3 linked regions of the Rhinolophus ferrumequinum genome follow. The protein of the gene in region 3 interacts with the protein of the main gene of each other region in a pairwise test. Links are inferred from orthologs where the notes say so. Each region holds a gene or a part of one and is shown on either strand. Other genes may lie near its edges.

The links. The genes of interacting proteins can lie anywhere in the genome.
Region 1: the proteins of EIF3E (region 3) and RUNDC3A interact in binary tests that used the Homo sapiens proteins (3 or more experiments, as listed by UniProt). The two-hybrid records come from large-scale screens. The link is inferred for Rhinolophus ferrumequinum from reciprocal best matches to the Homo sapiens genes EIF3E and RUNDC3A.
Region 2: the proteins of EIF3E (region 3) and C5H4orf19 interact in binary tests that used the Homo sapiens proteins (3 or more experiments, as listed by UniProt). The two-hybrid records come from large-scale screens. The link is inferred for Rhinolophus ferrumequinum from reciprocal best matches to the Homo sapiens genes EIF3E and PGCKA1.

What each region holds. Positions count from the first base shown.
Region 1 is NC_046304.1:39,360,878-39,371,858, reverse strand, and holds the start of RUNDC3A (RUN domain-containing protein 3A), read right to left. Parts: upstream 5,071-10,981; 5' UTR 4,816-5,070; coding exon 4,709-4,815; intron 1,071-4,708; coding exon 955-1,070; intron 631-954; exon of another isoform or gene 599-630; coding exon 450-598; intron 269-449; coding exon 183-268; intron 1-182. UniProt on the Homo sapiens protein: May act as an effector of RAP2A in neuronal cells.
Region 2 is NC_046288.1:62,265,339-62,276,477, forward strand, and holds the start of C5H4orf19 (uncharacterized protein C4orf19 homolog), read right to left. Parts: upstream 5,071-11,139; 5' UTR 4,964-5,070; intron 1-4,963. UniProt on the Homo sapiens protein: Acts as a tumor suppressor. Acts as a tumor suppressor for colorectal cancer cell proliferation by targeting KEAP1/USP17/ELK1/CDK6 axis.
Region 3 is NC_046297.1:48,867,164-48,877,596, reverse strand, and holds the start of EIF3E (eukaryotic translation initiation factor 3 subunit E), read left to right. Parts: upstream 1-5,700; 5' UTR 5,701-5,801; coding exon 5,802-5,891; intron 5,892-10,433. UniProt on the Homo sapiens protein: Component of the eukaryotic translation initiation factor 3 (eIF-3) complex, which is required for several steps in the initiation of protein synthesis.

The DNA of each region.
Region 1 (10,981 bases), on a different chromosome or scaffold from region 3:
GTGTTTCTGGACAGCAAGCTGGGCGGACCTGTAGACAGTCTGGGAGAGGAAAACTAGTGGTGCATGCTGGGAGTTGTAGTCCAGGTACTGAAAGTGGCTGCAGGAACTTAAGGATCAAGTATGTTTAGGCAGTAAATGTGTACACTGGGACCTGTGGTCCAAGCTGACTGAGAGCATCTTACCTGGTGGTCCGGGTGTCCCGCAGAGCTGTGGTGATGTATTCGGACATGCGCTTCTCCATCAGTGCTACCCGGATCCATGCCCGGCCCTGGAAATCATGCTCACCTTTACTTGCTGCCCCGAAAGGACCCATCTGTACCCCATTGGGTCTGGACCTCCTGTGATTCTCCCCAGTGCCCATAGCAGGGTGAGAACCAAGGAGCAGGCAGTCCCCCTGTATCCAGAGCAGGGAGCAGCTGCCCTGGCCCTGCCTGTTGCAGGCCCCTCACCTTGGCTCGGGCTGTGCTGATGTTCTCCATGTTCTCGATGCTGCTCACGCAGTTGTTGGGCACTTTACTGCAGGCCAGCCGGATATAGTCCCAGAAGCCCCGCTGCCCATCTGAACTGAACCAGCTCACAGGACCTGCTGGGGCACAGGCTGAGCCAGGGCAGGGAGGGGGCTCAGCAAGACTAAGGAGTTTAGAGAGGGCCCATGTAATGGGGCACACACGTGCATAAGTATAAGTAGCCATGCACACACATAATGCCTACCCCAAACGTATGTGCACACACATGCATGTACACAAAGGGTATACCAGCATATAAATGCATGCCCAGAAGACCCCCTTCCATCTCCCCAGCTCTGTGAATGAGCTTCTGCACATGGCCCAGAATTGGGGGCATGGTCAGTGATGGGGTTCAAGAAGTCACAGAGTAGATCAGAACAGGGTGGCTGGAAGCTAAAGACTGGGAGTTGGCAGAGCTGGGTCCTGGGGGACAGGAACCTGGGCCCACCTTTGAAACGGTGACTGAGGATCTGCTCTAAGATGGCTGCAAAGTTCACAAACTCCTCAGATGAGTCATCGATGGGCTCTGCCGTGTACTTCTCCAGCAGTGTTTTCACAGAGAACCTGGGTGTGGGGTAGGGAGAAGGGGCAGTGGGGTGTCAGGTGAGAAGACAGGCTGATGGTGGTAGGGGAGGGGCATCAGGCGAAGAGAGGGAGTGAAGGGCAGAGAAGAGGTCATGAAGATTATGGATGTAGTGGGATGGCAGAAGGAAAGAGGGCGGGAGACAGGTAAGAATATAGTGACCATAGAGTTGCTGTGACATGGGAGTGATAGGGTGGCAGGTGGGAGACTGATTGACAAAGTGGGTGACAGGAGAGGTGACAGTCAGAGAAAGGAAGCTTTGGGAACAAGGTTTGAGAGGGGATGAAACAATAGGTAGAAAGTCGAGGCACCTAGAGCCTGGGGACCGTCCACAGCCCCCTCGTCTTTGCCCACCCTTTGGAGTTGCATTCTGTATGTGTGTGGATTGCGGTTCAGCTAGGAGTTAGAAGCCACTTTGTGCCCTTTCTCTGAGCTCTCTTCTGCTCTTGCTAGAAAAACCTTCAGTCCTTTCTGGAGGGGGGTTCACCTGTGCCAGAGCCTGTGAGTTGGCTCTGAGCACATGGGGCGTGGGCACGCATGGTGGCCAGGTGGGCTCTCAGCACACGGAGGCCCCCGCTTACCCCTTTTCCTTCCCAGCTCGGCTGCCCACACACCAGCTGTCCGGAATCTGGTGGTGCAGTGCTGCCCAGGGAAGTGCAGGGTGTGGGTCTGACACACACACTGAGTAGGAGTGGGCATTGGACACAGATCTCTGGAAGGGGCCTTGGGGGCCCTGATACCTGGCTTCTCAGAGAGGAATGCAGCCGAGGGAAGCCAGTGGGGCTGAGGGACTGCAGCCCAGCAGCCCCCATCCCTCTCTCCAATCCTGCTTGAAGTCCCCACTTCCCCTGCACTCCCTACCCCTACAATCTCCACCCACCATGGCTACAGTGGGATGGGGCAGGGCTAAGGGCACGTCTCCCAACATGCCATTATTGGCCTGTTGTGGGTGGCAGAGCAGATACAGGGCCTGCTTAGAATGGTCCTTTTCCCCCTAAGCTTATTAAGCCCTTTCATGTGCCAAGCGCTATACTTTTCGTGTGTTATCTCATCCATCCCTACAACAGCCCTGGGAGGTAGTTCCTCTTATTATCACCATCGTCCCCATTTCACAGATAAGGTAACTGAGAGTCCAAGTGGTTGACTGATCTGTTCAGAGTCACACAGCTTGTGAGAGGTCAAGTAGGTATGTCTGATTCCAAAGCCCTTGCTCTTTCTGCTATATCTTATGGCCTCCTGATGGCTGTCACAATTACTAAGGATCCGAGCAGCCCCTGCCCCCTCTGCCCTCTGTCCTCCTCTCTGCAGGCTCCAGCCCTGGGGCACTGGCCTCCGTGGCTCTCAGGCCAATGGCCCAGTTGAGTCCATGGGCCTCCCTCTCTTCCCTTTGGGCTTCAAGTTGGTCTGGCTTGAGATCAGAGCCAAGTCAATGCTGGGGTGGCACCTAGGGGGAGGCAGCCTGGTGGACACAAGTCCTGTTTCCTTGTGATACCCCTGTGGCCTTGGACAAGTCATATAATCCCTCAGAGGCCCATTGTCCCAAACAGGAAGGGAAGTACCTGCCTCATTACATTTTGATTCAGATCCCAGGCAGGATTGGGAGAAGGTGGATGTGGACGGGCAGGGGTTGTGAGGAGTTGGGTCATTAACGGGAAGGTTGGCCCTGCCAGAAGGAGCCTATGTTTAGGGCATATCTGGGATGCATTATGTAGCCTTCCACACCCTGATGATTTCTTCTGGTCATCTGGGTCAGACCACAGTGGGTGAATGGGGCTGGTGTCAGCATGGCAGCCATCTGCCATCTGTCCTCGGGGGTGCTGCAGAGCTGGTCATCTCCCCCAGGAGCCCCATGGTGTGTTCCCTGTTAAGAGGTGCAGTGGCTGCCGCAGTTACCATGGAGACAGGGAGACCAGGGCCCAGGGGAGCTCTCAGCCTGCTAAAGGGAACTGTTCTGGGAGCTGGAGGCAAACCATGTGACAGTGATGAGGTGGCAGGGGCCCGAGGGGTTTCTGAGCCTTTATTAAGCCCCTGATGCCCCCTAAAACTCTATCCCTCATACCACAGCTCTACGCCCACTTCCTATCTACCAGAACCTCTGCTTCTGCAGTCTGGACCAAGGGGAGTGCCCCTCATCTCCACACACTCAAGAAGCCCAGTTGTCCTGGCAGGCAAGAGAAAGAAGAGGAACCTAGGCGGTCAAGAGGGAGAAGAGGGACAGGGAAGATGTCATCAGGACAGGGCTATTTCCGTGTGCCAGGCACTGGGCTAGGCTCCTACGTGGATTATGTCACTACCCTTCATTGGTGTGGCTGTGACATATATAATGGGGATGATAAGGCACCCAAGGCCTGAGTGGTTAGGAGATTTCACCAATGATACACACTAGTAACTGATGAAGTAAGAGCTCGACCCAAGGCCCATCTAGCTTTTACACAACACTGGCAGGGTTAGGACCGTAAAGGTGGCGATCGTGGCCTGCACTTTGCATTCATCCCTTCTATAACATTTCAGGCATTTTTACGGAGGTCTGGTGTGCACAGCACTGTGATGGGCACTAGGCATATCGTGATGGGAGACAGATGCAGCATGGTCGGATGTGTGCCCAGGAACCTGGGAGGAGTTATAGGACACAGGAGCCAGGGCATCAGGTGGGCACTGATTCCTGGGGCAAGGAGCAGGGCCAAGGCCTAGGTGCAGGCAGGTGGGACTGGCAAGAGAAGACAGCTCTGTGCCCTCAGAGGTGGCACGGGGCATGGGGAGGTTCCAGGTGGAGAAGGCAGCTGACATGGGAATTTTAGAGGGAGGGATGAATGTAGGTGGGGCCTGAGGGAGAGAAGCTGAGCAATTGGCCATTCCTGGCTTCAGGGCAGGGCAGAGAGGGTGAGACTCTGAGGGCTGAAGTGGGAAGGTTCACTTCCTGGGCCCTAAGAAGAGGAGGGGTGGGAATCTTCCTAACCCTGAGACAGCCCTGCCCTCCCAATCTTCTCCCCTTGAACCCAAGAGTCCCAGGCTTCTTCAGCCGGCCCCTCAGTCCTTCCCACAGCAGGGGCAGTGCCCTTCACCCTTCAGTGGATGGATTCAGTCTTTGCCCACATGCCCCGTTGACTCTGCTACAGGTTGCAGCTTCCCAGAAAAGAAGGACACCATCCCTCTCCAGGAATTGAGCAGCATGATGGGAAAATCTCCCAGGAAAGCCCCACCTCAGATAGGCCAGGCTGTTGGGTAGGAGTGAGGGTATGCTTGGAGGGTGGTCATCCCCCTACCCCATCAGTTCTTCTCTTCCCACTGCCGACCCGCCGCCTGCGAGGGAGCCAGCCATCCCCAACCCTCCCCCTCACGCACAATGTCACTTCCTGGTTCTCACAGGAAGCTGCAGTGCCAGTTAAACACCCCTCACCCTCCAGGCCCCAGGCTGGGCATAGGCCTTGCTTGGCCTAGCAGGGTAGGGACCAGACCTCCAAACCCCTCCCTGGTCTTGGCCTGAGAGGGACAGTGGACGCTCCTGTTAAGCCTGTGCCTCCCTTTTCTCCCAGGTTGCTTTGCACGCTCATCCAGTTTTCCGCAGCCCGCCCCACACCTCTCTCCGGTCACCCCACCCCCACCCTACAGCGATGCCCACCTGCACACGGTGATCAGGTTCCTACGCTCCACGGACACATTGCGGGAAGATGCTTTCTTGGAGGACAGCCCCAGAGCCATGGTGGTCTGGACAAAGCTTGCTTCCATCCAGATATGCGGCCGCTGCTGCCGCCGCCAGCTGCCCCCCACCCCGCCCGGCGCCCTGGCCCCCCTCGCCGGATCACGGCTGGGCCCTCTGCCCGCCGGGGCCCCGCGACCCCTTTACCGCCATTGCCCTGCTGCTGAGTCGCGTGCCCAGCCCCCTGGTTCCCTCCCCCGGCGGCGGCGACACCGGAGCAAAACAAGGCCGGGGAGGGAGCTCTCCGAGGTGCTGAGCCGGGGCCCGTCACCCCCCTCCCCGAGCCGCCTGCCCCCCTCGGCCAGTGACGTCAGGGCCTTCGGGCCCCGCCCCTCGGCAGGCCGGGGACCAATCCGCAGAGGGTGCAGGATTTCAGGGGGAGGGGAGAGGGCCAGGGCCCAAGGGAGGGCGGAGGGGGTCCCTGAAAGAGGCAGCGATTAGAAGGAGTAAGAGGGAGCATCTGGCCTGTCCTCCACCCCCACACTCTGAGCCCAGGACCCCTTGCTTCACGTCTGAGCTCCGACGCCTCTACTCCCCTGTTTCTGACTATGATCGATGGTGTTCATCTCAGATTTCTCCCCCTGATGCCTAGGGGGAATGGAGGTCTTCACCTCCAGTATCCTCATCCCAGCCCCGCCCCCTCCCTCCCCCCCACCCCCCCATTCAGTATAGGCATTCTCCTCAAGGCCAGGGCAGGTCTTCGTCCAGAGAGCGCAGGTGGCCCTATGCTGCTGACCCAGGAGGCAAAGGAGCAGTCAGAGACACTGCGTATCTGTCTGCCCCCCGGGCTCGACTTGGCTACACCAGCCGGTGGAGTCAACCGCTCCTAAGGTGAGGGATGGGAATCCCGAATCAGCAATAGGAACCCAGCACCTGGAACCACTCAAGACAGTGAGTGGAGAGCAGACTGGCAGCTGAGGGCCGGGCTCGGTGGAGGTTCCTAGCATTAGAGATGGTCCCCACTGCTTCCCCTCGGAGTCCTACCCCCTCACACCACCCCTGGGGCAGCTGGCTTTCCTGTTAACCCCTTGCATTGCTGCGTGGTGCCATCAACCCTCTATGCACGGCCAAGAGGGCACCCGCAAAGCTGGTTGTATCTTTTACCCGAAGGTGGGGAAACTGGAGGCACAGTCTGGCTTCCCTGCTGCCCTTTGCCTCCCAGTTCCTCTCTCACATCCCTGCTCCATTCCCCAGTCCAACCTGTTCTCTTTCACTCAGCTTCCACAGAAAGCCTTTCTGTGTTGATTAAAGAGGCTCTACCCATTTCTCTGTCTGGCCTCAGGAATGTGCATCCCAGGGCTCAGCTCATATCTATTCACCAATTCCACCTACCTACGAGATTTACTCTGCTCTGCTAGTGGATGGTCAGTATCTCCACATTGATTCAGATGTGCTCCCACATCTGGATATGACCAGCAGGCAGGGACCCTCTGTCAGCACAAACAGAGGGGGAGGAGATAAAAGACCTAAAGAAGTTTCCAACCCTGGTCTGACTCCCTGGGGGCTGGGGAGAAGGTCCTGACTCCTGGCTCAGATCTCAAGCTCTCTCAGCCTCAGCCTCAATTCTTGGCTTCTGGGACCTCTGGGACCTTGGTCTTTTCACTCCCTCTTTTGCCTCTTGCCTCGCCTCTAGAAGCCCTTCTTAGCATCCTCTTGCCTCCAGACCCATCGCCAGTGGCAATCATGATGTTCTTTTGTTTTTCATTTGCAAAATGCATCTTATGCACAAAAGAGCACATAAAACACAAATGTTCAATTTAAAGAATATGGTCAAAGCAAACGCCTGTGTCATCACCTCAATGATCAAGAAATAGAACACTATGGGGCCTGCCTGGTGGCAGTTAGAGCTCCATGCTCCTAACTCCGAAGGCTGCCGGTTCGATTCCCACATGGGCCAGTGGGCTCTCAACCACAAGGTTGCCAGTTCAATTCCTTGATTCCCGCAAAGGATGGTGGGCTCCGCACCCTGCAACTAAGATTGAACACAGCACCTTGAGCTGAGCTGCCTCCCGGATGGCTCAGTTGGTTGGAGTGCATCTTCTCAACCACAAGGTTGCCGGTTCGACTCCCACAAGGGCTGGGGGGCTGTGCTCCCTGCAACTAGCAACAGCAACTGGATCTGGAGCTGAGCTGCACCCTCCACAACTAAGACTGAAAGGACAACAACTTGACTTGGAAAAAAGTCCTGGAAGTACACACTGTTCCCCAATGAAGTCCTGTTCCCCTTCCCCAATTAAAAAAAAAAATTAAAATAAAAGATTTAAAAAAAAAAGAAATAGAACACTATGAATGCCCCAGGACCTCCCTATGCTTCTCCTAGATCTCATCTTCATCCATGCCTCCAAGAGATAACCACTATCCTGACTTTTGTGATAACCATTTCCTTGCTTTTCTTTATAGTTTCATCACCTGTGTGTCCATCAAGCAAATATATAGTTTAATGTTGCCAGTGTCTAAACTTTGTAGAAATAGAGTCATACTGTGTGAATTCGGTTGCGATTTGCTTCTTTCAGTAGTATGTTAGGGGGATTCATTTTCCTTGCATACTAATTCCTGTGTAGTATGTCTATGCCACAAGTTATCTCTTCTACCATTGAGGATATCAGATAGGCCTAATCAGATAAACAGAAGCCACAGTATGTATTTCAAATGTAGGACTTAATACAGGTTACACAGGTGTTGGAAAACGAAAAGAGCAAAAAGAAAAAGAACATTGAGACAACTTGGAACTAGTAAGTAAAGGAAACAGCAAGCGCTGAGGGAACACAGGGAAGAGGTGGGATTACTACACCCTAAGAGCCCAGAGGGGGACGTGCAGAGTTGAGGCTCAGATGCAGGTGGAGCGGCCGGGGCTGCTGCTCACTCCTCAGAGCAGCCATCTACAAAGCTGGTTCCTGGAATGCGGAAAGAAGCTGATGGCTGGAGCCACTTTCCAATGATAGAGTGACCAAACAAAACCAAAAAAGTGGACGGTAGTCTCTTCTCCCTTTGCCTTCCATCTCACTCCAGTGCCTCCTAGTACTACGAGAACCTAACAGAAAGCCAGTTAATAACGGAGTGACTTTCTTGTTTCTCTAACAGGGAAACAAGTTTGCAGAGTCCCAACCCCACCCAGCATCAGAGAGCAGAGACACGAAGAATGGATTTGGAGCAGGAAGGCCAGAAGTAAATAACTGACACAGTCAACCCCTTTTTCTGCTCAGCATTTACACACATCTTTCTATGCATGTTTGAACAGTAACAATCTCATGACTTTGCCTAACAAGATGCAATTGTCCTTCCCGTAAAGATGTGCTGGCAGCCTCCAAAAGTGGAAGTGCAAAGTCTCTTCAGTAACAGTACCCATCTCTTGGTGACACCAATACCTCTCCTAGTTCAGCTACAAAAAAACAAGTAATTTGTTTTTTGTCTCTTGTTTAAGAAATCTTCCCTATCTTGAGGTTATGGTGTATTTTCTTATATTACCTTACAAGAGTTTTATAGTGTTATTTTACTTTAAAGTCTACAATTCACCTAGAGTAAATTTTGTGTATGGTGTGAGGTGGGGGTCCAATTTAATTTTGATCCAGCACCATTTATTACTTTTTAAAAAGTACTGTCTCCACTGTTTTTCAGTGACCTCTCTTTCAAATCAGGTATGGGTCTGTTTGTCAGCTCTGCTCCTGTGGTCTTTTGGTCTATTCTGGCACCAAAGCATAATGTCTTAATTATTAAAACTTTATAAGTCTTGATGACTGGTAGAGCAGTTCCTCCCATCTTATTCCTCTTCAAGAGTGTCTTGTTTTTCTTGGCCCCTTGTGTTTCCATAATAATTTTAGAGTTAATTTGACAAGCACAACAAAAACAAACTAACCTTAGTAGAAATTTGTATTGGAATTATGATTGCATTGAATCTATAGCTTGATTTGGATAGAACTGACATCTTTATAATCCTGAATCGTCCAATGTTTGGATACAGTATAGCTCTCTTTTGATTTAGCTTGTCTTTAAAATTTGTCAAAAAATGTTATCACTTTCTCCAAAGAAGTCTTATACATATTTTGTTAGATTTATCCTAGTTTATTCATGTTTTGTGCTATTTTAAAAGGTACCTTGTTAAAAATTTATTTTCTAATCATTGCTTCTATAGATAAGCAATTGATTTCTTATTGTGTTAAAATTTATATAACAAAATTTGCCATTTTTAAATGTACAGTTCAGTGACAATAATTACATTCACAATGTTGTACAACCATCACCACTATCTATTTCCAAAACGTTTTCATCATACTGTGTGAACATTTGTATACAAGTATTGGTTTGAGTCTGTGTTTTCAATTCTTTTGAATTGCTGTGTCATATGGTAATTCTATGTTTAACTTTTTGAGGAACAGCCAAACTGTTTCTACAATGGCTAAACCATTTTACATTCCCACCAGTAATGTAAAAGCGTTCCAATTTCTCCACAGCCTCAACAACGCTTGCTTTTTCCATTTTTTGTAATAGCCATCCTAGTACGTACAAAGTGTTATCTTCTTGTGGTTTTGATTTGCATCTCCCTTATGACTAATGATATTGAGCATTTTTTCATGTGTTTATTGGCAATTTGTACATCTCCTGTGGAGAAATGTCCATTCAAGTCCTTTGACCATTTTTTAATTTGGCTGTTTGTCAAGCAATTAATTTTTAAGCTGATTTTGCTAATTTATTAAACATTTCTATAAATTGAAATAATTTGTCTGTAGCTCCTTTTTTATTTTCTTGTTACACAATTAGGTCACTTGCAAATAACAGGTTTGTTTCTTCCTCACCAAATAACAAGCAGCTTTTTCCTGTTTCTGACCTCAGAAAAAAAGATTTCAATATTAAATGTGATGTTTGCTAGAGGTTTTTGTTTTTTTTAATAGATATCCCTTATCAGGTTATAGAAGTTCTTTTCTATTCTTAGTTTGCTCAGTGTTAATCATTAATGGATGATAAAGTTCATCAAATGTTTTTTCTGTTTTTGAGATGAATATATGATTTTTTTTTCTTTATTCATGTTCATGGGAGGATTGTATGAATTGATTTTTCTAATGTTATCAAACTCCATTTCTGGGGTAACCCAATGTGTCATGATGTATTTTCTTTTTTATATATTACTGGGTTTAGTTTTACTGATTTAGAATTTTAAAATTTATGTTCATGAGTGAGATTGACCTGTTATTTTCTTCCCTTGTACTATCCATGCCAGGTTTTGGTATTAAAATTATATTGTTAAATGAATTAAGAAGTATCCTCTCTTTTCCTATACCCTGAAATAATTTGTGAATGTTTGGAAGTATTTGCTCCTTGATATGTGATTAAATTTAATGATGAAGCCATCTGGTCATGGAGCTTGCTTTGTGGGAATGTCTTTGACTACTGATTCGATTTCTTTTATAGTTGTAGACGATTCAGGTAGTCTATTTCATTTTTCATTCCTATGGTTTTATTTTGATTTTGTCAATTGATTTCTCCACTAAAAAAAATCAACATTATTGAAGTATAATATACATACAATAAATGCACCCATATTAATCGTACAGGTCAATGAGTTTTGACAAATGTATCCACCCACAATTAAGATAGGGAATATTGCCATCACCAAAAAGTTTCTTTGTGCCTCTCCCTAGTCAATCCTCAGCCCCACCTCTGACCCCAGACAACCATATATCTACTTTCTGTCACTGTAGACTAGTCTTTCCAAGAATTTTATATAAATGGAATCATATAGGCTATACTATTTTGTATCTGGCTTCTTTCACTCAGCATAGCATCTTGGAAATTCATTCTTGTTGTTGCAAGTATTGTTAATTCATTACTCATTATTGCTATGTATTTCATTGTATGGCTATACCACAGTTTACTTGTCCATTCACTTGTTGATGGACATTAGGGTTTTTTTCTATTCTTTTTACTATTATGACTACAGTTGCTCTAAATGGTATTGTATAAATTTTTGTGTAATCAAGGTTTTTATTTCTCTTGAATAAATACTTAGAAGTGGAATTGTTGGATCATATGAGAAGTATGTGTTTAACTTTATAAGAAACTTCCAAACTTCCAAAGTGGTTGTACTGTTTTATATCCCCACTATCAATGTACCAGAGGTCCAGTTGCTTCACATACTTGCCAACATTCAGTATTTTCTTTTTTTTTTTTTTAGATTTTATTGGGGAAGGGGAACAGGACTTT
Region 2 (11,139 bases), on a different chromosome or scaffold from region 3:
TAACATGTCTCGGTTTCAGTTTCTTCACCTGTAAAGCAGGCATTCTCTCAACCTCTAGCGCTGATGTGAGAATTCAGTTAGGTAAGTTATGTCAAGTGCTCTGCCAATGTGGGAGATTGCAGAAATGGCCACAATTCTCCACCCCACCCCATTCTCTTGCTTTGGTTTTAAAAGAGTTTGGAAGACAAGCAACTTGTGTCCGTTTTGGGCTTGGCCTCAAAGAGCCTTGCTTCCATGTTCCCCCTGACAACTATACTGAGCATGCCCAGTGACGGGAGGCATGAGCCCCGCGGTTCCCCAGCTGACTTAGTCAATGGTCAGCCAATACTCAGAGGCAGAGCCACCCTGGGGACCACAGAAGCCCAAGGGAGCCCAGACAAGACCAGCAGATTCTCCAAGCCCAAACCGCTGATCCCCTAAGTCATAAACTAAACACATGGTGGTTGTTTCAAGTCATTGTGGTTTAGAGTGGTTTGTTACATGGTGATAAATGATACTGTATATATAAGTTATTTCTCCATAAATAGTGGCTATAATATTTTAAGAAAAAGGTACTTAACAGAAAATGAATTTCCCATACCACTAAAATTTGCACTTTTGGATCAGTTGTAGGAAGATACCTGAACTGGGAATTGGGACTCTTAGATCCTGGCCACAGTAGCTTTTCCAGTGGGCGGCCTGATGACCTTGGACACATCATTTAACCTTTCTGAGCCTCAGTTTCCTCATCTCTAAATTAAGGTGGTTAGTTAGACCAAATGACTTCTAAGGTTCTTTTCTAGCTCTAAAAATGATTGACGGTGCATTTTTCTAAAACGCAATACTTACTTCCTTGCTAACAGATAGTTCTGAACCCAGTTTTTCTTTTCTTGTAGACTTAAGATTTATTCACAGACAAGCTGCCTGTGTTGCCTTCACTATTGAGCCGTTGGTTGTGGCTACATTTCACACTTACAATAGTCATACACTGAACCTATAAGGCGGGCCTTCTTCCGTGGACCAGGAACCCAGATAGCCAAGCTCATTAAGAATCAAAAAATAAATAACGCCATATAAATTCTAGTGAGAATCTAAATATGTGGCTCTTAACAACTACTGTGTTTCTTCGAAAATAAGTCCTAGCCAGACAATCAGCTTGAATGCATCTTTCGCAGCAAAAATTAATATAAGACCCGGTATTATTTTACTATAAGATGCAAAAGATGCATTGGAGCTGATTGTTTGCCTAGGTCTTATTTTCGGGGAAACACAGTATTTGCAAATGCAAGTGGACTTCTTTTATTCATTTCTAGGTTGCAATAAATATTCTGGAGGAATGAGGCTGTATAGTTTGATCACCAAATAAAAGGGATACTGTTTTACAGCCATCAAGTATGAATCTAATCTGCCTTTATCATACATAAATGACCCAAGATATGTACTCAATTATCAAATGCGGGGGCGGGGGGTAGACTTAACACGAAAATTAAAAACAATTTCAGAACTCGCATGTGTAGAGATTGACTCTGAGACTAACAAACAAGTGAATTAATCTATCCAAATACATGTTACATAAAAGCTATGTATGTGGCAGTGAGTCAATAACTAAGGTGACTTTTCTTCTATCACAGGCAAGCAGCGCCTCTCACATACCACTAGCACATACTCTAACACTGCACTCCTGCAAATATAATACAGGTGTGCCTATCGCGGGTTTTGTTCCAGGCCACTACAACAAACCGAGTTGTCATCTTTTTGTTGATGGAGGGTCTTGCCTTCAATTTGTTAAAAACGCAACATCTGTGAAGTGCAATAAAACGGGGTCTGCCTGTACAGTCATCTCTGTGACATACAGCAGGCCATACTGTGGACAACTTAAAAAAAAAAAAAGGCTGTTTTACTGCCCACATCCACTACTGTTACACCATCGAGTCAGGTGTTTTTATTCCTATAGGGCGTTAAGCTAAATCAGAGAATGTGTATACAATATGAGAACAGTTTATCTTAACTTGGCCTTCAGATGTATGTATTTAAGTCTCCATACATAAAGAAGCACTGGGTTGTTGAAAGTGTGAACTATATTTGAAGCTCATTCTTTATCAAAAACTTTTTTCTGTGATGGAAACAAACTCTGCGGGGCCCTATAGTAACTTCAGTCAGTAAGGAAAGCATTGCAATGGGACATGGCCTATGGTTATCTACCTGGAACAAGTGTATTTCAAAATGGCATGTAAATTAACTTTAGAGACTTGAAATGCCTAATATATTCTGAGTTAACAGCTTAAATACCCTTGCCCCTCTAAATATCTTTTGAATCAATTCACTTCTCTCTTTCCTCTCATGGATGTTTACAGCAGTTGCCTTGCTTGTATCTTCCCTGTTTCATTCTTCTCATTGCAGCCAGAGTGAACTTCCTAAAATAGAGACCTGGCTCTACTCAAAATCCTCCATGGCCTCTCTGAAGACTGTAAGATCCCTGAAGGCAAGGACTGTGTCCCCAGCATCTCGCTGAGTGTCCGGTGTCCCTGCCTCTACACACATGCCATCTCCAAGGCCAGATGAAGGTTTCATTTAAGTTGAGAGAGCTACTTGTACTCTGAACAGAAGTGGTCACTACTCATAGTGAAATTTGAGACATGATATTCCTTTTGTCTTATGTTAATAATATTCACCGCAGCTCAGGGGCGTCTTTTCTAAGATGCTTGCCTCCCCTGAGTCAGTATTTTAAATTCTTTTAAGTATCTGCGTGAGGACACATATTCATCTGATGGGAATATTAATATACTCAGGTGAAAAGGGTGCAAACAGATAAAATATTTCATTTTCATTTTATCCTCTTAAATAGCATTCAGGTGGTAACCAGACTACGAAAGGCTACAACTGGGCGACCCACCTGACCTGCAGATGGGTGAAGGTTCATGTGTGCTCTCCTTTATGATAACCTGTCAACTCTTTTCTAGATACCTCGAAAGTTTATCTGCAACCCGATAATCAATCTAAAGACCATAAAAGGAGGAAAAAAATGGCAGGAGCAAGGTACTATTTAACCAAGATCCCCAAAGAGCCCAACGTTCAGGGTTACTGGAAAAATTGTGGAACTAGGGGAGTTCGAAACATTCCAAGTGGAGGAAATCCAACCACTGGGAGGCTGGCATTCAATTATTTGGAAACTAGAGTCCATTCCAGTCAGTGGGCTCTTGGGGCACCCAGAGCAGGGGAGTTCTAGAAGCCAGGAGGGCAGTATCTGCCCTGCCTTGGGCTGGGGCTGGTTTCCCGCCAGAGCTTAGCCAGGTGGTGTTTCCAGGCTCAGAAAGGTACTAAGTGGAATCCTTCCATTTTTTTTTTTTAGGTTAGTGAACATATTTAGTTGATATACAAGTTTCTGTTTTAAATTCCAGATATGCGAAAGCTTTTAGTACACTGATCACAATTATCTTTCCATGTCATTAGATAGATACCTAAATCTTTAGAACCATTGAGGACCAGGCCCAGGAGCTAGGTGCCCTAAGACAGGCACTTGTTACAAACTTGCTGAATAAAGCAGGATCAGGATAGACTGAACAAACTTAGACTGAACAAAGTAAGACAAACGTGTCTTCCTCCGTTAGTGTCGGCTCCATTTCTCCTCTGTCAGCAAGACAGCTTCCTCTGGCTGCCTCTTCACACTTCAGAGCAATACAAATAATAACCCCAGAACTTTACCCTTAGAGCTTCAAATGACTGTTTCAATGATCTGTCTCATGACTGTTAAGGTGTTCTTTAGGCGCCGGTGGTTAGCCTTAAAAGGCTTTAACATCTGTCTCCTCCTTAAAATAGCATTGGCTGGAGCATTAAATGTGGGAATAAGTAGCAAAATAGAATCTATTGTCTTTAAAAGCAGCAACAACCACTTTTTTTTTCTTTCCTCATTCAGCCCTCCAATGTTTCTCATCTTTTCACCAGCCATTACTCCTCACAATAGCTTGGTTACAACCACCCAGGACACTCATAAGCCATGTGGAAAGTGCCATCAGTAATTCTATTAGCGACAGGAAGAAAATAAACACCCTATTCTTTTGATTTCAACCACCTCAAGGAACTCGGACTTCCTCTAAATTCCCAAGGCAAACATCTATACCACAATGTAACATAAAATGTACTGTTACTAAAGGGAGTTTTTTTTTTTTTTAAAGTTTAATTACAGTGCTGGAGAAAAAACCCAAAACAATGATTTCTGTCTTACATCATTGGAAACATTCTTCAGTGGTGGTTTGTGAAAATCTCACCTCATCAGAGCGGCCAAGGGCAATGAGACCCAAGTAATCGACCTGGAGGTGCTTGCCTAAATATTAAATATTCAGCAAACAGTTTGGGACCATTTAAGCGTTTGCACCTGGCCCCCTCTTTCAACACGTGCTGCCTCCTAGCGCGGCACCCTCTTCTCCCCACCAGAGCGCCAGCACCTCAAGGGGGCAAGTTCTGGGACCCAAGGACATTTCAAAGAAACAGCAGCGGTCACACTCCATTTCCGTTTTATTAAAAAAAAACAAACACAAAACACCTCAAATGCTTACAAATGGGGGAAGGGGGAACTTTGAAATACGTGTGGGAAAATCGCTTGCAGTTTTTCCAATTCAAGTTCTCCGGCACTGTTGAAAGTTCATTAATTAGGGATTTAAAAACAAAAGCGTTTCATACACCCATTAGATGCCAAGCTTTACAAACCGTCTTGATCTTTAGTTTGGGGAATTTGTAAAAGTCCCCCTCCCGCCCCTCATTCAAGACTTTGCACTCCTGGCCTTTGTTGAATTACGTGCCTCTTCCGAAGTAATCAAACTGACAATCACCTCACCCCATTTCCCCCCCAAGGGCAAAAGGAAATAAAGAAAGAAAAGTGACCCGTGAGAGCAGGGGAAATAATGCCCCACGGCCAAATTCGCAAAAGTCCGAGTCCTTGACTTCCCCACCGCAGCGCGCGACGCGCAGGACGAGAGACGGTCCCTACCTGGGGCGGGGCGGCGGCGGCGGCGGCGGCGGGGTCGCGGTGCCCATGGCTTCGCCGGCCTCGGGCAGCCGCGCCGGGAAACACCAGCGGCTCAGCGCCGCCCGGAGCCCGCTGCGCTCGCTGCGGCCGCCCCGGCTCGGTCATTGGGCCCGCGCGTCACGTGGCCCGGCCCGGGGCGAGCCTCCCGGCACGTGTAACCCTTTACCAGCGCGCCCCACACCGCGCGCCTCCCCTGGCGGTCCCCAGGCTGCAGGCAGGGCGCACGCCAGCCCTTGGCACCCTACTGCCGAACCCCCGCAGCTGGGGCTGGCCTTCGTGCTCACGGAAGCAGAAAATCCAGGAGCTCGGCCTCTGAGCACCCACACCCAGGTAGCATGCCAGCGGCCTGCCGGTGCTGGGAAACTTTTTAGTGCCTACTTTTCTGTCGTGCTGTCGGGAGAGGGGAGCTTCCTAGGGCTCAGGACGGAAGTAAGAAGATAAATAAATGCATCCGTGGTACATAGATTTGTACCCCTCACCGCCGCGCACTTGTGTTTTTGTTTCCTCTGCACTACCTGCTTAGACCTGGTGTGTGACGATAGCCTGCCTTTGAGACAGATGATCTGAGAATCAGCGCAGACGCTACCATGATAATTCCCAGGGAAGCTGCACAAACTTGCTGCTTGCACCCTCAAGACCACAGTGGGAGTTCAACGAAATCACGCTTCCCCGCCCCGCACCGTCCCCCTCTTTTCCTGGGGTGTAGGAACCTCGGCTGCAACACTTCGTCCAATCTGCTGATCTCTACGCCCGTACTTGTTGCAATCCACGCACCTAAGGTGGGTGGAGAACTGTTTCTTTACCCTAAAATACTACTTAAGCATGGGACATTCTTTTCACCTGCGCTGCGAAGTAAACTATGGGCTTGACAGGAAAATGTATTAAGCAACTGCGCCACCTAGCTTACCTAACTCTTGTGTTTTTCCCCTCCAAATCATCCAGGGAGAATCAGGATGAAACAGGATGCTGGAGAAGCAACGGCACAGAATACTATTTGAAGACAGACATACGGCCCTTAGTTTTTAATGCGTCCACTTTAGTGACTTCAGCGCCATTTACAAGACACGTGCCTTTATGGAGTAAAACTCATTTTCTGAATCTCCTCATTCGCGTAGTAGTAGCTGTCTGTTTTAATATGATAGATTTATGAGGGAAGTTACATGCGGTTTTAAATCATTTTCTGATTGAACTGTTTGTCACCACTGCAAGCTGACACTTTAGTAATGTCCACAGGATATTGGCACATTTGTCAGGTTATTCTGACCAAATATACTTTGGTATTTATCTTGGGTTTTAAAGTGTGGTTACCAAACTAGCAGCATCATCAGCACCATCTGGGGGGAATTTAGTAAAAATGAAAGTTCTCGGGCCCCACCCCAGACATATCAATTCAGAAATAGTGGGGGATAGGGAGAGTGAAGAAATCTGCGTTTTAACAAGTGATGCACAGTCCAGTTTGCAAACCACTGCTTAGGATGCTCAAGCGGCTGTTTAAGCTACCCTCGTCTAGTAAAGGCTGGGATTCTATAAAGCCAGAGGTGGTGGTGTTATTGGTAATCTCAAATTACCAGTGTTATATAACTTGCCATATTGATACACTGAAACCCAACACTCTGATGTGTCTATGCAAAGTGTAATCTGTACTTCCTGCAGATCACATGGAGTGCTAAATGGAGATTTGTGGGGTCCTTGTGAAAAATACAGAAGAAAAATCTATGGTTTCTTGATGCATGCAGGAATGAAAACATAATATACTCAGTTTTCAAGGTGCGTTCATGTTTTCATTGGCATATAAATTGTTTCCAACTGATGAGTCATGGAAGCCAGGAAAGCTAATTTGAATAATTTGTTAATATAGTTCTAAGTTTGTCAATATAGTTCTAAAAAAAAGACAAATTTAAAAAGTGTATGCTATTGGCTTATATCCCAAAAAAGCACCATATGAGGCATTTTAGGGTCAGCCCATTTCGTAGCTCCATCCCTCATACTAGTCTTGATGTGGCCTCTTCTTTATATCCTTAGTTATAGTGGTTCTGTTCAGCTAGTGTTCAGATGAATCTTGAGGGTGGTTGTTCTATAAATTTATGTGTCACTGTGGTGTCATCCTGGGATGCGGTAGGCATAGGGAGCGTTTACCTATTCCACCATCTTGAATCAAATCCCCCATGAGGCATTTTAGACTTTCGAGAAAGAGATTCTTTATCTCAGCTGGATTCTTTATTTCAGATTCCTCCATTGGATGGATAGCATATTTACAACTGCCTGCATAGAGGTCTTACCTTTTGCACTCTCTAGGTCCAACTTTATTATTTCCCCAACTTTCATCTCCTGACCTATTCGTTTTACATTTGCACCTCTGCTATCCACCCAGTTTCAACTGAAAACTGAAATTATTTGTTTTCCCTCTCCTTCATCACCCACCTCTGTCAGTTAGGTCCTGAAGTCACTCTTGAATTGCTCCCCCTCTTAGCATTCTCACTGCCACTACACAAAGATCAAGTTCTTACATTTTCTATCTCAGATCATTGCAATAGGCTCTTTACTGGTCCCCCAGCTTCTGGTCTCTTCTGTCTCTAATCCATCTGACAGAGTACTGCCTGAGTCATTCTAAAATACCATTCCAATCTGACCATTCTCCTCCTCAAAATATTTTTCACGATTCTGTTGACTACAGAATAAAGTCTAAAATCCCAACATAGCATTTGAACTCATCCAAAATATGCTTCGACTCTCCCTGTTTTGGCTCATACAGCTTCCTTCACCTGAAATGTCTTTTCTGGCATTCTGAGAGCTAAATCCTACTTATGCTTCAAGCCTCAGCTATCTGTCACCTCCTCTTGGACACCCTTTTTGATTACCAGAGTTAATTGCCCCTCTGCAGTGTATTCACTTTTATTAATAACTTTGTATCACATTCTGTCTTACAGCTGATTTAGTTGTGTTTCCTTTAGATTGTAAGGTTCTGGCAGGAATTGTATGTGACTAATTTTCAAGTCACCGTAGGGCACAGTATAATGCCTTGCACATAAGAAGTGTGCAGTATTTGTTGTGTTTTTGACCCTGAGATAGAAGAGATTTAGTTAAACAACAAATTCCATGTATATGAAATGCTTTTATGCAAATATTGATGGACAGCTTCTCTACATTTTCTCGAGAAACAAGAGAGAAGAGGCTTTAACCTTCAATGAGTCCAAAGGAATTCCCCCGCATGGGTAATGGAATCCTTTTCAATGGGAGTAAATTTTAAATTAAAGTCAGTCTTGAGGTCACATGAAGATGGAGGCAATAAACACAATGGCTATTCTAATTGTTTTCTTGACACTTTGATTTTGTCTCTCGGAGAATAGTTGTTTCGTGAAACTAGGTACAAGGTTTCACCTGATTATTTCCTTGTTATCATCACTTAAGCTCTCATTACTGCCGTTTTAAACAATTGTGTGTGTGTGTGTGGGGGGGGGCGAGGGGTGGGAGTAGTTTCTCAGACCCAAAGAGGCAAGAAACAGAAAAAGTACACATGGGAAAATTCCCCGTGGCATCTATGAGTGATTCTGTAGAGATTCTGTAGAGAATCTATGAGTAGGATGACTCCTTGGTTGTCCTTCCCACCTCCACCCCCAGCCCCAGAGGAAGGCACACTGTCCTTGAACTTACACATAGAACTGTTTCCTATCTGTTTTCCTGTTAAGGCTTGGAAATCCTAGAAGGCAGGAGCTATTTTATTAACCTTTGTATTCTTGGCAAAATGTAGGCCCCAGTAAATATTTGCTTAATGAATAGTACATCAACTGTTGCAGTGCACCTGAAAATCCTGAGAGTTTGCAAAGACCTCCAGTGATCTTCAGAACCTACCCTGGTTTCTCGTCTACAAGTAAGAAAACATCTTATATAGGTCATTATCAGTAAGTGCCTACTGGATACGCAATACTATATTTGTATGAGCTTTGAGAAAGCTGACAAAAAAGACATTGATGGTACATTGAAATGCTGTTCCGCTATTCTCCCTGGACCTGTGTTTCTAGGTTTCTTCATATGTAAATTTGGAATACTAACAGCACCTACCTCATAAAGCTGTTGTGAAGATTACACGGCTTAGTATATATGAAGCTCTGAAAATAGTACCTGGTGTACAATAAACACTCAGTAGGCATGAACTATTACTACTTCTACTACTACTACTATTACTACTACTACGGATCTCTATATCTAAGTTGGGGGAGAAAAAGAAACACCACATATCTACATAGTTTATCTTTTATTCATACAAACAAAACATACACAAGACTGTATATTGTTTGAAGACTGCAATAATTTTCTAGTGTAACAACTCTGTAACAAAATTTAACTAAAGGTAACATTTATGAAAATATAAATCTCTGATTGGGTAATTCTTCCCAACAATACAAAGTTTACATAAAAACATTCAATATGAGCTATCAGTTGCAAACAAGTTAGGAAAAATCATTCAAGTCACTTGTTAAACTCTATTGGCTGTTACACAGAACATTCACACACGACGTTTACTCCATCGAGACAATTTAATTTAGAAATATGTGCCATGGAGGTCCAACTGATAATGACAGGAATAAGATGTGTTGCCTCCAAAGAGCTAAAAAAAGCATTGACTCAGACAATCCACTGCAGGCGATCTGTACCTGCGCTGGGCCTTAGCCCGGCTACCACCTCCCTGGCTGGTAGCCAGACGAGGAGGAACATACTGGAAAAGTCTTTCACCATGGAGTTGGGTGTTTTATCTGAATCATATCTCTTTCCAAAGTGAAATACAATTGACTTGGATTCCCTATGGGTTAGATTACGTTGTTTCTCCAGTGTCAACAGTTAAGATGTCACTGCATTTTTTTCTTATATTGCTCCCCAATATCCCTAGAGGGGCTATAGCAGACACTACCATGATCTTTATTTCGCAGTTCACATAAACAATAATATAGTGGGGAGATTAAAGATCTGCTGACAGATACCTGATGAGTTCATGGCAGAGCTGGACCGAAAGTGAGTCAGTTCCTTGTTCATTATTCTGCCTTTTGTAGTCACTGCTGCCACTTTGAAATCAAACCAAACCAAACCACCACTACTGACACGCTTTGGAAAGTTATCCAAGGACATGCCAGGTGGAGGATATGGAAGGGAGAAAATCACTCTCCCCTTTCGGGATGTGGTATTTTCTTTTACATAGATAAAGTGGTTTTTAAAAAAGATTTAATACATTTCACAGCTTCTGCTTTGAAACAGAGAAGACTAGAAAAGTCTCCGAAGAGTCCTCAATTGGAAAGGGTGACAGTTAAAGAAGCATACATACTGTGTGTAGAAGTAAGAAAGGGTTTACAAACAGGGACATTAAAGAACCTTTGGACACCCTTAAGATTTATGGAATATTTTAGCACAAAGACAGGCATATTTCAGTTTGTCCCCGAGTATTTGGTCATCTATCTGCATTTTACACAGGAAAAAGGAGGAACGAGAGAGTAAGGCAAATGTCAGCAGTTTACCATAGATGGCATGTTGAGAAAGCTTTCTTTCTATTAAGATTTACTGCAGGGAATTAGGAAATAATTTATGCTTCCGTACAATTGACTGAATAGCACACACTTTTGTTAATACAATGATAGAAATGAACAGGTGTTTGGACCAAATCTGTAATGCCTTTTCTGTAATTCTTCCTTACACCCAGCACAAATAGGTATTTCAAAAAGACATGAGAAGATTATGGATTCTTATTAAATGTGTTCTTTTGCAGCCCAGGAAATAGTTTAAAAAATACTGTGTTCCGTTATACAGAAACCCTCGCATGCAATTGTCACAACTACATTTTCACGAAGACTGACTCTGTGTGTTCAGTAGCCCTATGATAGTGGTAGGTAGTTCTGTCCCAGTCCAGTTTGTGGCCTCTCATTTCATGTCCTTCCTCTTGTGAAACTGGGGGTACATCTGGGCATTTTTGTTACATTAGTTTGCACCTTTAGACCTTCCATCTACAGACTGGGTTTACACAGTTGTCAGGATTGTAAAATGTAAAGAGAGATTAAGGCTGTGTTTACTTATAGCCACACAATCATGTAAAGTCAAATAGCTCTTTGTGTTCACAATTTCAACCAATTTCTGTAGCACTACTTCCAGTCCAA
Region 3 (10,433 bases):
TAGGCAGCTGAAGATCTATTCAGGTAGAGGTAGTCAAAGGTTGCCTTCTCCATAAAGCTCCAGCTTTCTCTGGCAGCAAGTCACTTCCTCCCCTGGACGCCCAGCTGCTCTCTGTGCATAGAGTCTCCCATATTGTGCTACAATTATTTTACTTTTTACATGCTTGCTGCCCGCATTAAACTGCACACTCCTTGTGCCTGGGATTAGTTTGCTTTCTTTGTTTCCCCAGAGCCTGAACTGGTGATCAGCGAATGGCAAGCATTCAATAATACTTGATGCATGTGTGAGAATCAGTCTTCATCTGACACCACCTACATACTAGCAGGTGAGCCTTTATCTGTCCTTCTTCTGTAATATCTCTTTTTAACGAAAACACTAGAAAGAGACTAAAGCAAAAAAGTCAGATTTTCCATATTTGGGGCTAAATCTCTCTTATAAAAAGAAACAAGATATTTTCACAAACCAGCAAGGAAAATTCCAGAAGAAAAGCCAGGCAAATCAGCAGAGTTTCCAATCTGTCACCACTTTAATCCATCTTGTAAATCATTTCCAGTTTAATTTTAAAGGACAAAACACCACTGTCTTCATGTCTTTTTCTTTTTAAGAACTTAATGAGTGGCTCCCATTGTCTATCTAATCAAATCCAAGTTTCCCAGCATGGTTTGGAAGACCTTCCACAGTCTGGCTGCATTTCATCTATACAATCACAGTCCAACGCAATTGTCAGGGTTACCTTCCTGAAACACAGATAAGATTATTCACTCTCATACTCAAAAAATACTTTAAGGCTCTTCCTAACCTCAGATAAATTCCAAATTCCTCACATAAGCTTTCTACTATTTGGCTCCGGTCTTTCTTTTCTAGTATAGCCTCCCTGATAGTATTCAATCTTCAGCTAACTTCCCAAGTTGTCTTTCTTAAATACTTCTTATACTTCCTGTTTTTATGTCTCTACAGTGTCAAATTGTTCATGAACCACATGCAATACTGTCTTCCATATGTGTTGTGTAAGTCAGCAGACCCAATACAAAAGACATACAATCTGTCAAGCTTCCTGCCTGTTTTCTACACTCATTGAGAATCAATCTCTGAGCACACTCTGACGGGGGCCTCATTATCTTCCCATGTTCCTTGCAGCTTCTCCTAATACTCTATCTTTCCATTATAGTTATTTACGTAAGTATTATATCATGTCTATCAGCAGACACACATGTTTTAAAACACCCTCCCTAGATGCCATATCTTTCATTGTATTTCACTGCTTCCCTTTCTTGTAAATTCCTCAAAAGATCTGTTTGCATATGTTGTTTCACTTCCTTCTTCCCGTCTTTTGAGCTCTCTCCAAACAGACTTTTTCATCCGCTACTGACTGAAACTGCTCTTCTCCAGGTCATCAATCACCTTCACATTTTCAAAGCTGACAGGCAAAACTCAGTTGTCATCTTGAACTAACAGCATCATTTGACATAGTCCATTGCTCCGTGATGCTTGGACCACTCTCCTCCTTTGGTGCCTGAAACACCAATTTCTCTTGCTCCTCCTCTTCTCTCCTCCACCTACTGGCCACTCCTCCAGTCCAGCTTCCTTGCTTGATCTGAACTGTCCTAACCTCCGCAAGCTGAAGTGCCTAAGATTTAGCCCTGCTCATCTCTTCCCAACACACTCATTCTCTGATCTCATTTAGTCCCATGGGTCTAAATTTCTTCAACATATTGACAAGATCTAATTTCTTTCTCCAGCTCTTACCTTTCTCTTCAATTCCAGACTCATATGTACCACTGCCTAATCAATATCTCCACTTAGATATCCAACAGGCATACCAACCATAATAGGTCCAAAACTAAACTTTGGTTTCTCGCCTCTCTAAAACATGTATCTATCACACCCTTCCTTGTCTTAGGAAATCGTCTCTCAGTTCTTTTAGACCTTTGACCCTTCTGTCATCTAATCATTAGCAAATTTTGCTAGCTCTGCATTCAAAATACATTTAGAATTTCACTTCTGTTCACAACTCTTTCACTGCTACTACTCTGTTCTAAGCCCCCATCATCTCTTCCTTGAATTATTTCAATAGGCTATTCATCAACTGGTCTCTTTGTTAATGCTTGTCTCCTTTCCCTCAATCCCTCAAAGTGATCTTTTTTAAAGCATAACTCTGATTTTGTGACTTCTCTGCTCAAAACCCTCCAATAGCGTCCCACCTCATTCAGAATACAACCCAAGTCCTTACCGTGGCCTACAAAGCATTACATCATCTGGCCCGCCACGCCCTCTGAACTCATCTTCTAGACCACACTTCCTCTTGCTAATCAGCTCTTGAATTTCTAGACTCCTTGCTTTTCCTCAAGGATATCAAGCATCAAGCACACTTTTGCTTCAGCACTTTTATACTTAATGTTCCTTCACCTGGAATTTTCCTCCTCTAGTGAGCCACAGGCTCCCTCACTTGCTTCATGTCTCTTTTCAAATTCTGCCTTATCAGACAGGCCTTCCCTGACCACTTTATATAAATCAGCAACCTTTCCCGATCATTCTCTTTTACCTTGCATATTTTTCTGCATAGCACTTATTACCAACTAAAAAAGTATATATTTTTATGTTTTTATTTGTCTCCTTCCACCTGAATATAAGCTTCTATAGAGAAGGTGGTTTGTTTTCTTTACCACTGAATTCCCAGAACCTAGAACAGAGCCTAGCACATTGTCGGTATTCAATTTATATTGAACAAATGAATGGATAATTGTCACCTATTAGACAAAAAGCTTCTGTGGCCAGTAACTAGCTCTGATTATATATTCCCATTAACACCTAGCTTAGTACTTTTCATATGATAAAAGTTTAAAATGTTTGCCAAATTAAATTGCATCTTATTTCTCTCTGCTTCTTAATGATGCTCTCTGTTCCTTTTTGGCAAGTTTCCATACTGCTACCTGCTTCTTTCCTTCATCTATCAAAGCTCACTTTTGCTGGAAGCCTCAGTTCTTGCTATTTCTCTAACTTCCTCTTTTCCTATATTCTATTATAACTTTAGTGTCTGGGCTTCCGGAAGCTTCAGATTATTATTTCTCAGCTGTTAGAGATTACAAGGACTATTCCCCACAATTTAGCAGCCTATACTATTATGTATTCTCTGCTTCATGGGAATTCTGCCTTGCCTTCCCCACAATACTATAAATGGTATAATGGCCAGACCATATCATACTCCCAAATCTTTGAAAATATCTTTTGTAAGGTTACATGCATGGTAAGTGATTAACTGATCCAAAATAGTGTCTCCACTTGCATTCTAGATATCACCTCTTACATATCTAACAGAGATCTTATTCTGTCTCAAATAGAATTCTTAATTTTAGCACCCATACATATTCCTTTGCCATTCTCCCCCACAATCCCCATATTCTAGTCACCAGTAGGTATCCAATTTCTAAGTCCAAAATCTAGGAATCATTTTTTTAAATTGAGCTTTTATTCTGAGATTATGGATTCACATGCAGGTGTAAGAAACAATACAGGGCTATTCTGTGTACCTTTCACCTAGTTTCCCCCAGTGGTAACATCTTGCAAAATCAGAGTACTGTCTCGCAGTTTCTTGAGCAATTAAACATAGAGTTACTATATAACCCAGCAATTCCACCTCTGGGTATATACCCAAGATAATGGAAAACATATGTCCACATAAAAATGTGTACACGAATGTTTATAGCAGCATTATTCATAGCAGCCAAAACATAGAAACAACTCAAATGCTCATCAACGGATGAATAGGTAAACAATATGTGGTATATTCGTGAAATGGAATACTATTTGGTCATAAAAAGGAATTAAATACTTGTTCTTCTACAACTTGGATGAACCTTGAAAACGGTAAGTGAAAAAGTCAGACAAAAGACCACATATTATATAATTCCATTCACATGAAAGTTATGAATAGGGAAATCTACAAGACAGAAAGACTAGTGGTTACTTAGAGTTGGGGGAGAGTAAGCAAGAGGAAGAGAAGGACAAGTCAGAGAGGTAATGGGTCCAGATGATCTAGGGCTTTTTATGACATTTTATGACTTATCTTTTACTCTGAGTGAGATAACAAGGCTTGGAGGTTTTTGAGCATAAATTGACTTTTAAAAGTCACTCTGGCTGCTGTATGGAGAATAAATTACAGGAAGAAAAGAGGGGAAGCAAGGTGATCAGTAAAGAGGCTATTCCAAAAATCAAAGCAAGAGATAAAGATGGTTGAATTAGGGATTAACTTTGGAGGTGGTTTAAACTGCTTGGATATGGATATGCTTTGAAGGTTAGAACCTAAGAATTTGTTGGTGAATTCAAAATAGAGTGTAAGAAAAAGTCAAGGATGACTCCCAGGTTTGGGGTCTGAGCAACTGGACGGATGGAGTTGGCATTCACTGAGCTGGAGAAGAGTGTCAAAGTTGCAGCTTTTGATGAACTACATGGGGGAGTATGGTTTTAGACATGATAACATGGAGGTGTTGGGTAGGCAGTTGAATATATGTGAGTCTGCGGTTAACTACTAGTCTGGTTAGGGTTATACTTTGGGAGTTGTCAATGCGTAGATTTCATTTAAAGCCCTTAGGTTGAACAATATCACTTAGGGCAATGGCCTAGACAGAGAAGAGGTAAAAGACCCCAAGGCACTACACAATGAAGAGACCTGAAAGATGAGACATAATTAGCAAAGGAGACGTCAGAGCACTTAGGATAAAATCCACATTTCTTATCTTAATCATGACCTGGCCCTTCTCAAAGTCTTGAACCTCACTCTTCAGTAACACAGGATACTCACAAGGTATTCTGTTTTTGAAACACACCAAGTCCTTTCCTGTGTCATGGCCTTTGTTTTTGCTGTGGGTTCCACCAGGTATGTTTTCACCCAGACTAATTTTGGTCACCTCCATCTCTTACTACAACTCTCAGCTAAACTGTTACCCTGAGTCCTCTCTAACCACCCTAATTCCCATCTGAGTTTTCTCTAGCTAACCTAATTTAAAAGATCCAACCCGACCACCTCCACTGCGTTGGGGCTCTTACTATACTTTGAAATTATTGAGGCAATCTACATGATTACAAATGCTTCCCCATTCTCTTCCCCCCCAAAAGATATCCTGGCCCAAAATTAATCCTTTCTTTTCTTTTGTTAATACCTCCCTTGCTCCAAAGTTATTCCTATAAAAACCTTTCATTTTGTACAACTCCTGGGAGCACCCTTCTAGTTGCTAGATGGGATGCTGCCGGATTTATGAATCACTTAATAAACTCAATTAGATCTTAAAAAAAAAAGCACAACCTGACCACCCCCACAGAATCATTACGTTATGGCTGTTACTATAATCTGAAATTATTTTACTTGTTTTCTGTCTGAAACAATTTAACCAACGGTTTACAAAATGATTACTATGACAAATAAAAGCTCCTATTCCTCCTTGCATGTCACTTCCTGGAGAGCAGGGGCCTCTTGAGCTTGTCCTCTGCCGCATCCCAATGCAATCGACATTGCCTCAGCAATCAATTCTGAGTTTTCAGTTTTAAGAACGGAACGGATCGCAGTACACCGACAAACTTGAAAGAAAAAGAAAATGTGCCCAACGCTCCGCCCAGTCCCGGAATAGCCCAGAGCCCAGGAGGGCCTGCGCCCGGGACCTTGTTCTCCCAGCGCCACGGCCTGAACCCCGCCCCTTCCCCGGGGCGAGTTTAACCACTGCGCATGCGCGCTGGGGGACCTGTCTGTTCCTCTGTCGGCGCTATCAATAAAGTTTTAGTGAGGAGAGACTCTCCTTTTCCTTGACAAGATGGCGGAGTACGACTTGACTACCCGCATCGCGCACTTTTTGGATCGGCATTTGGTCTTTCCGTTGCTTGAGTTTCTCTCCGTAAAGGAGGTGAGCGGGGCTTGGAGGGTGAGGAAGTCGTGGGAGCGCGTGCGACGCGGGGCGAGGCCGAGAGGCAGTGGCGGGAGCCCTAGGCCTGACACACGTGTGAGGCGGCCGCCGGTTTGGTCCTGTGTCGGAGTGGACTGGTACCGCGGCATCGGGCGGTGAGCTGGAGAGAGGTAGCACTGTGACCCCCAGGGGAGAACGAGGGGTTAGCCTCGGTCCTCGAGGTGCCAGTGTCCAAGGGACTTCCGCGTCGGGTCCTTTCGGAAGTGGACGACTCGCTGCCGACTTCACTGTGATAACGCCCGAGCTTTCCTTCAGGCCGACTTCTAAAAACAAATGGGAGGGTTAGAGATTTTGGTGTGTGTGTTTTTTTTTTTTCAGGAACTGTGGCAAGGGTGTGCTGGGCTTGCCGGATCGTTTGGAATGGTACTCTTACACTTAAATGAAATATCTAGCACTTTGGTTGCCAGAAAGTTGTGAGTTCTTTGCATGGAGTAGTCCTGGTCTTTCCATAAGTAGCTACTTCCTACAGGCGTAGCATATTTTGTCGGGGGAGGAAGGGGACCCCCACTCTACGAAACAAAAAGCAAAATAACCCGGCAAGATTTTACCCTACAAGTTGTTTTCCAGTTATTGATAGATAGATTTCGTGTGATTTGAATTGGTCGGTAACATTCATTTAACTATTCAAGAGTTCTAGAATATCTTGAATAGCTATGTGGTTCTGGTACCTCGTTTTAAAAAAATTCATGAGTCCTAAAAGTTTTAAAATGTTGAACTTAGTTATACTTTGTGTTTATTGGGAAATTGATGCATTTTAATAATTATAATAAAGCAGTATTACTGTGATGAAGGGATTAGAATATTGGCCAGAAAAATAAATGAATTCTACTTCTGGAAGCAGATTACAACATAGGTCTACTTAAGGAACGTTAGATTTGGAGAATAGCTTTTATGTGTCCCAACAACAATAGAACAAAAAAGCCCAACAAATATTAAATTGTTCTGATAACTTTTCAAGGGTTCCTGGTATTTATGGTTTATTACATAAATTCGTATATCTTTTTCTAAACATATAGATAACTTTCAAGTTGTTGATGTTAGGGAACAACACATTTCATTTTCAATAAATGTTCAAGTGTAGCCTATCTTGAAAGGATATGTTTTTGCCTTGGTTTTTCTTCACCTGGGATATACTTAACGCCTGTATTTTAGAGCTTGAATATAATAATCTAGTCTGCCTTCTGTTTTTGTTTTTTTTCCTGGATAAGTAAGGATAATTCACCACAAATCAGGGAATAGAGCAATACCACATTTTGAAATCCTTTACCAGCTACTTCTAGAAATGCTTCTAAACTAACCAAACTTCATATTTTTTTAATGTGTTCCTTACACTTTCATTTTTCAAGACAGATGAAAGGGAGCAATGTGTAAGTGTAAATTAGTATTTCATAGGGCAAGACCAAAACTACGATTGGTAGCTGAGAATCAATGGAAGATACTGCGCCCAGTACCCTCTTCCGTGGAGAGAATATTGGTAAGATGTTCGTAGGAAGACAGACACATGCTGGCATATTTAGTGATTACTAAGTAGAGGGCTGCCATGGAAGTATGATAAATCCAACGTAAAGCCCAGACAGCTCACCGCTAAAAATCACCTATACTTTAGAGGAGATAAAGGTATAAATTATAAGGCAAAAATTAGGAAATGTCAGAGAACTACTGGAAGAGTATGCTATCAACACTGAGGCTTTATTTATAACACTTTTTTTATTTATTTATTTTTATTTTATTTATAACATAACAACACTTTTATTTATAAAAGTGGGCAGAAGGACTTTTGAGGAAGAGAGGCTTTGAGTTGTGATGGTTATATGGTTGGGAGAGTCAGCGATTGTGATACACGACGGCAACAATTTGGCATATTTGTAGTGTGTTGGAAAATATAAGCTCCACGAGAGCAAGTTTTTTGTTTTATACTTTGCTGTGTTCTCAGCACAGGAAGTAGAGTCTGGCATAAAGGATTTTAATGATTACGTAATAAATGAGTAAATGAATACATATTTGTATCTGCTCTTCTTTATTCTCAGGTGAAGTATACGACCAGGCAGTGTTTAGCAGCCTGGGCGCTGGATTTCTGCTTGGATTAGGATCCTGGCTCTGTCATTTGTGTAACACCTCTGTGCACTTAAGAGCAGTTTCTTTCTCATCTTAACTAAGCCTTTTCTCATGCATAAAATGTTGGTACTACCACGAATCTCATGGAGTTAGAAGAATTACATGAGAGAATGCATGTAAAGCACTTAGCCTACTGGGACAGAGTAAATACTCCTGAATGTTTCCTATCGGGAGGCTAGGCCATCCTGTCTGAGAGGGGAGTGAGACAACCAACTGGGGGTTTAAGGAGTGACTGAGGAAACCAACCAAAGACAAGTAACAAGGATTGGTAAGTTTGGAGGGCCCAGCTGAGACTGGAAATTATGCATTTATAGAGAATGATGGTTATTCTCAGAGTGAGAGGAGCAGTGGAGGATTTTTGAAGTAGTGGATATTTGGAGGTAGACTTGTAAATATCATTTAGAAATGAAATGGATTGCTGATCAACAGAGAAAAGCACAAATGTGATTGAATATATATTGCCTAGTTTTGAAACATTTTATAGTCATTCTTCACCAAAACAAAGAATTAGATGACTTTTTTCCCCAGAGCTAGAGATTGACATTGAATTGTGCTTGGTTGGAGAAAATGGATGGAATCCAATGATACAGCTAAAGAGAGAATATTTGAAATAGTTAGAAATGATAGCTAAACTTATATAGAAAGTTACAGCCAAAAAAGGTGATATAAAAATTAGGAAAAGCAGAGGGCCTGGTGAGATGGTGAAGCATGTTGATGGTAATGCTGAAAGAGGTGATGAGTTCAAGTTGGAAGTCTTACAGATGAGATACTAGATGGAAAGTTGTAATTTGCGGGATAAAGGAATTTTACGGCTTGAGTTTTTTTTTGGAGAATCATCAGTATGGATGTAAGATTTGTGGGAGATAGCAGGAAGAGATGTCAGAATATTTTTCATTTGTTAAAGATAGCTGTTTTCAAGGGTTTATAGACCAGGGATGGGGAAACGAGCCTGTGAACTGAATGCAGCCTTTTCTACCTGTTTTGTATGATCTGTAAACTAAAAGTAAGTTTTAACAAATGAACGTTCACAAACATTTTCAGTACAGAACACTGTAATGTTATACCCCAATTGAGTGAAATAGTTTCTGCCCCAAAAAGAATTACATTCTTCTCTTTAATAGATCTACATTACAAAAAAATTTACTCCATTATTATTATTTCAAAAAGGAAAAGAAATTGTGGAAATTTGTTTCTTATAGTACTTAAGCATAGTATTCTTGGTTTTTGCTTCTTGGCTCACAAATTCTAAAATATTTACTATCTGCCCTTTACAGAACAAGTGTGTCTATGAGGCAAATTTTAGAGAAGGTGATATAAGTAGATGTAGACTTTTGAAGAGGCCAGTAAGGTCTGATGGCAGAGGAGTAGTGCTTTGAACCTACAGTTGGAGAGACAATACAAAGTAAAAGCTGTTAATGGGGTATCAAGGAGAGGTGGCATATTACTATGAAAAGGGTGTTTTCATCTAGGGTTTCTGCAGGGCAGATTGAAAGGGAGCTTCAGTTTTTTTAAGTAAACTTTTTTATCGTGCGTAACACTCATACAAAAAAAGAAATGCACAAATATAAGTGCTTTTTTCCCCAAAGTGAACACACTGATGTGACCACCATCCAGATCAGTAAGTAAAACATTAACAAACATCCTAAAAACCTTCCTTCTGACCCTTCTTAATCATTACTCACACCTGATCTGATCTGATGCTAGAATGTTTTGCCTGTGTTTGATTTTATATAAATAGAATTAAGCATTCACCACCCTGTACTTGCTTTGTATGATTTCTTTCATTCAACATTGTGAAAGATCATCCAAGTTGTTAGGAGTTTGTTGATTTTCAGTGCTGCTTGTTAACACATATTGTGAGAATATCACAGTTTATCCATTCTAACTTTGATAGACTCGGCTATTACAAACAGCGCTGCTATGAACATTATTGGAGATGTCCTTTGAATATATGCACCCATTTCTCTTGGGTACCTAGGAGCAGAATTGCCTGGTCAAAATCTATGTTTAACTTTAGGAGATAAAGTTACTCTGGCATTGTCAGTTTTTTTAGTTTTTAGTGTGGTTTTAATTTGCATTTCCTTTATGATTAATAAAGTTGAGAACGTTTTCCGGTCTTGGTCATTTGGTTAAACTGTTCTGAAGTGCCTGTTAAAGTTTTAGTCATTTTCAATTGGATTGTCTCACACTATTTTGTAGGAGTTGTTTATGTAGTTTGGAAGATTCAGTTTTGATCTAATGACTGTACACCATCTGACCATTTTCAGGTTTTCTTTTAATGGACAGTGAAAGGTTGTGGAATTTTCCGGCATATTTTTTCCCTTGGTGAAATTAAATTTAGTACAAAACCCTTTTCTGTTGCTGAAG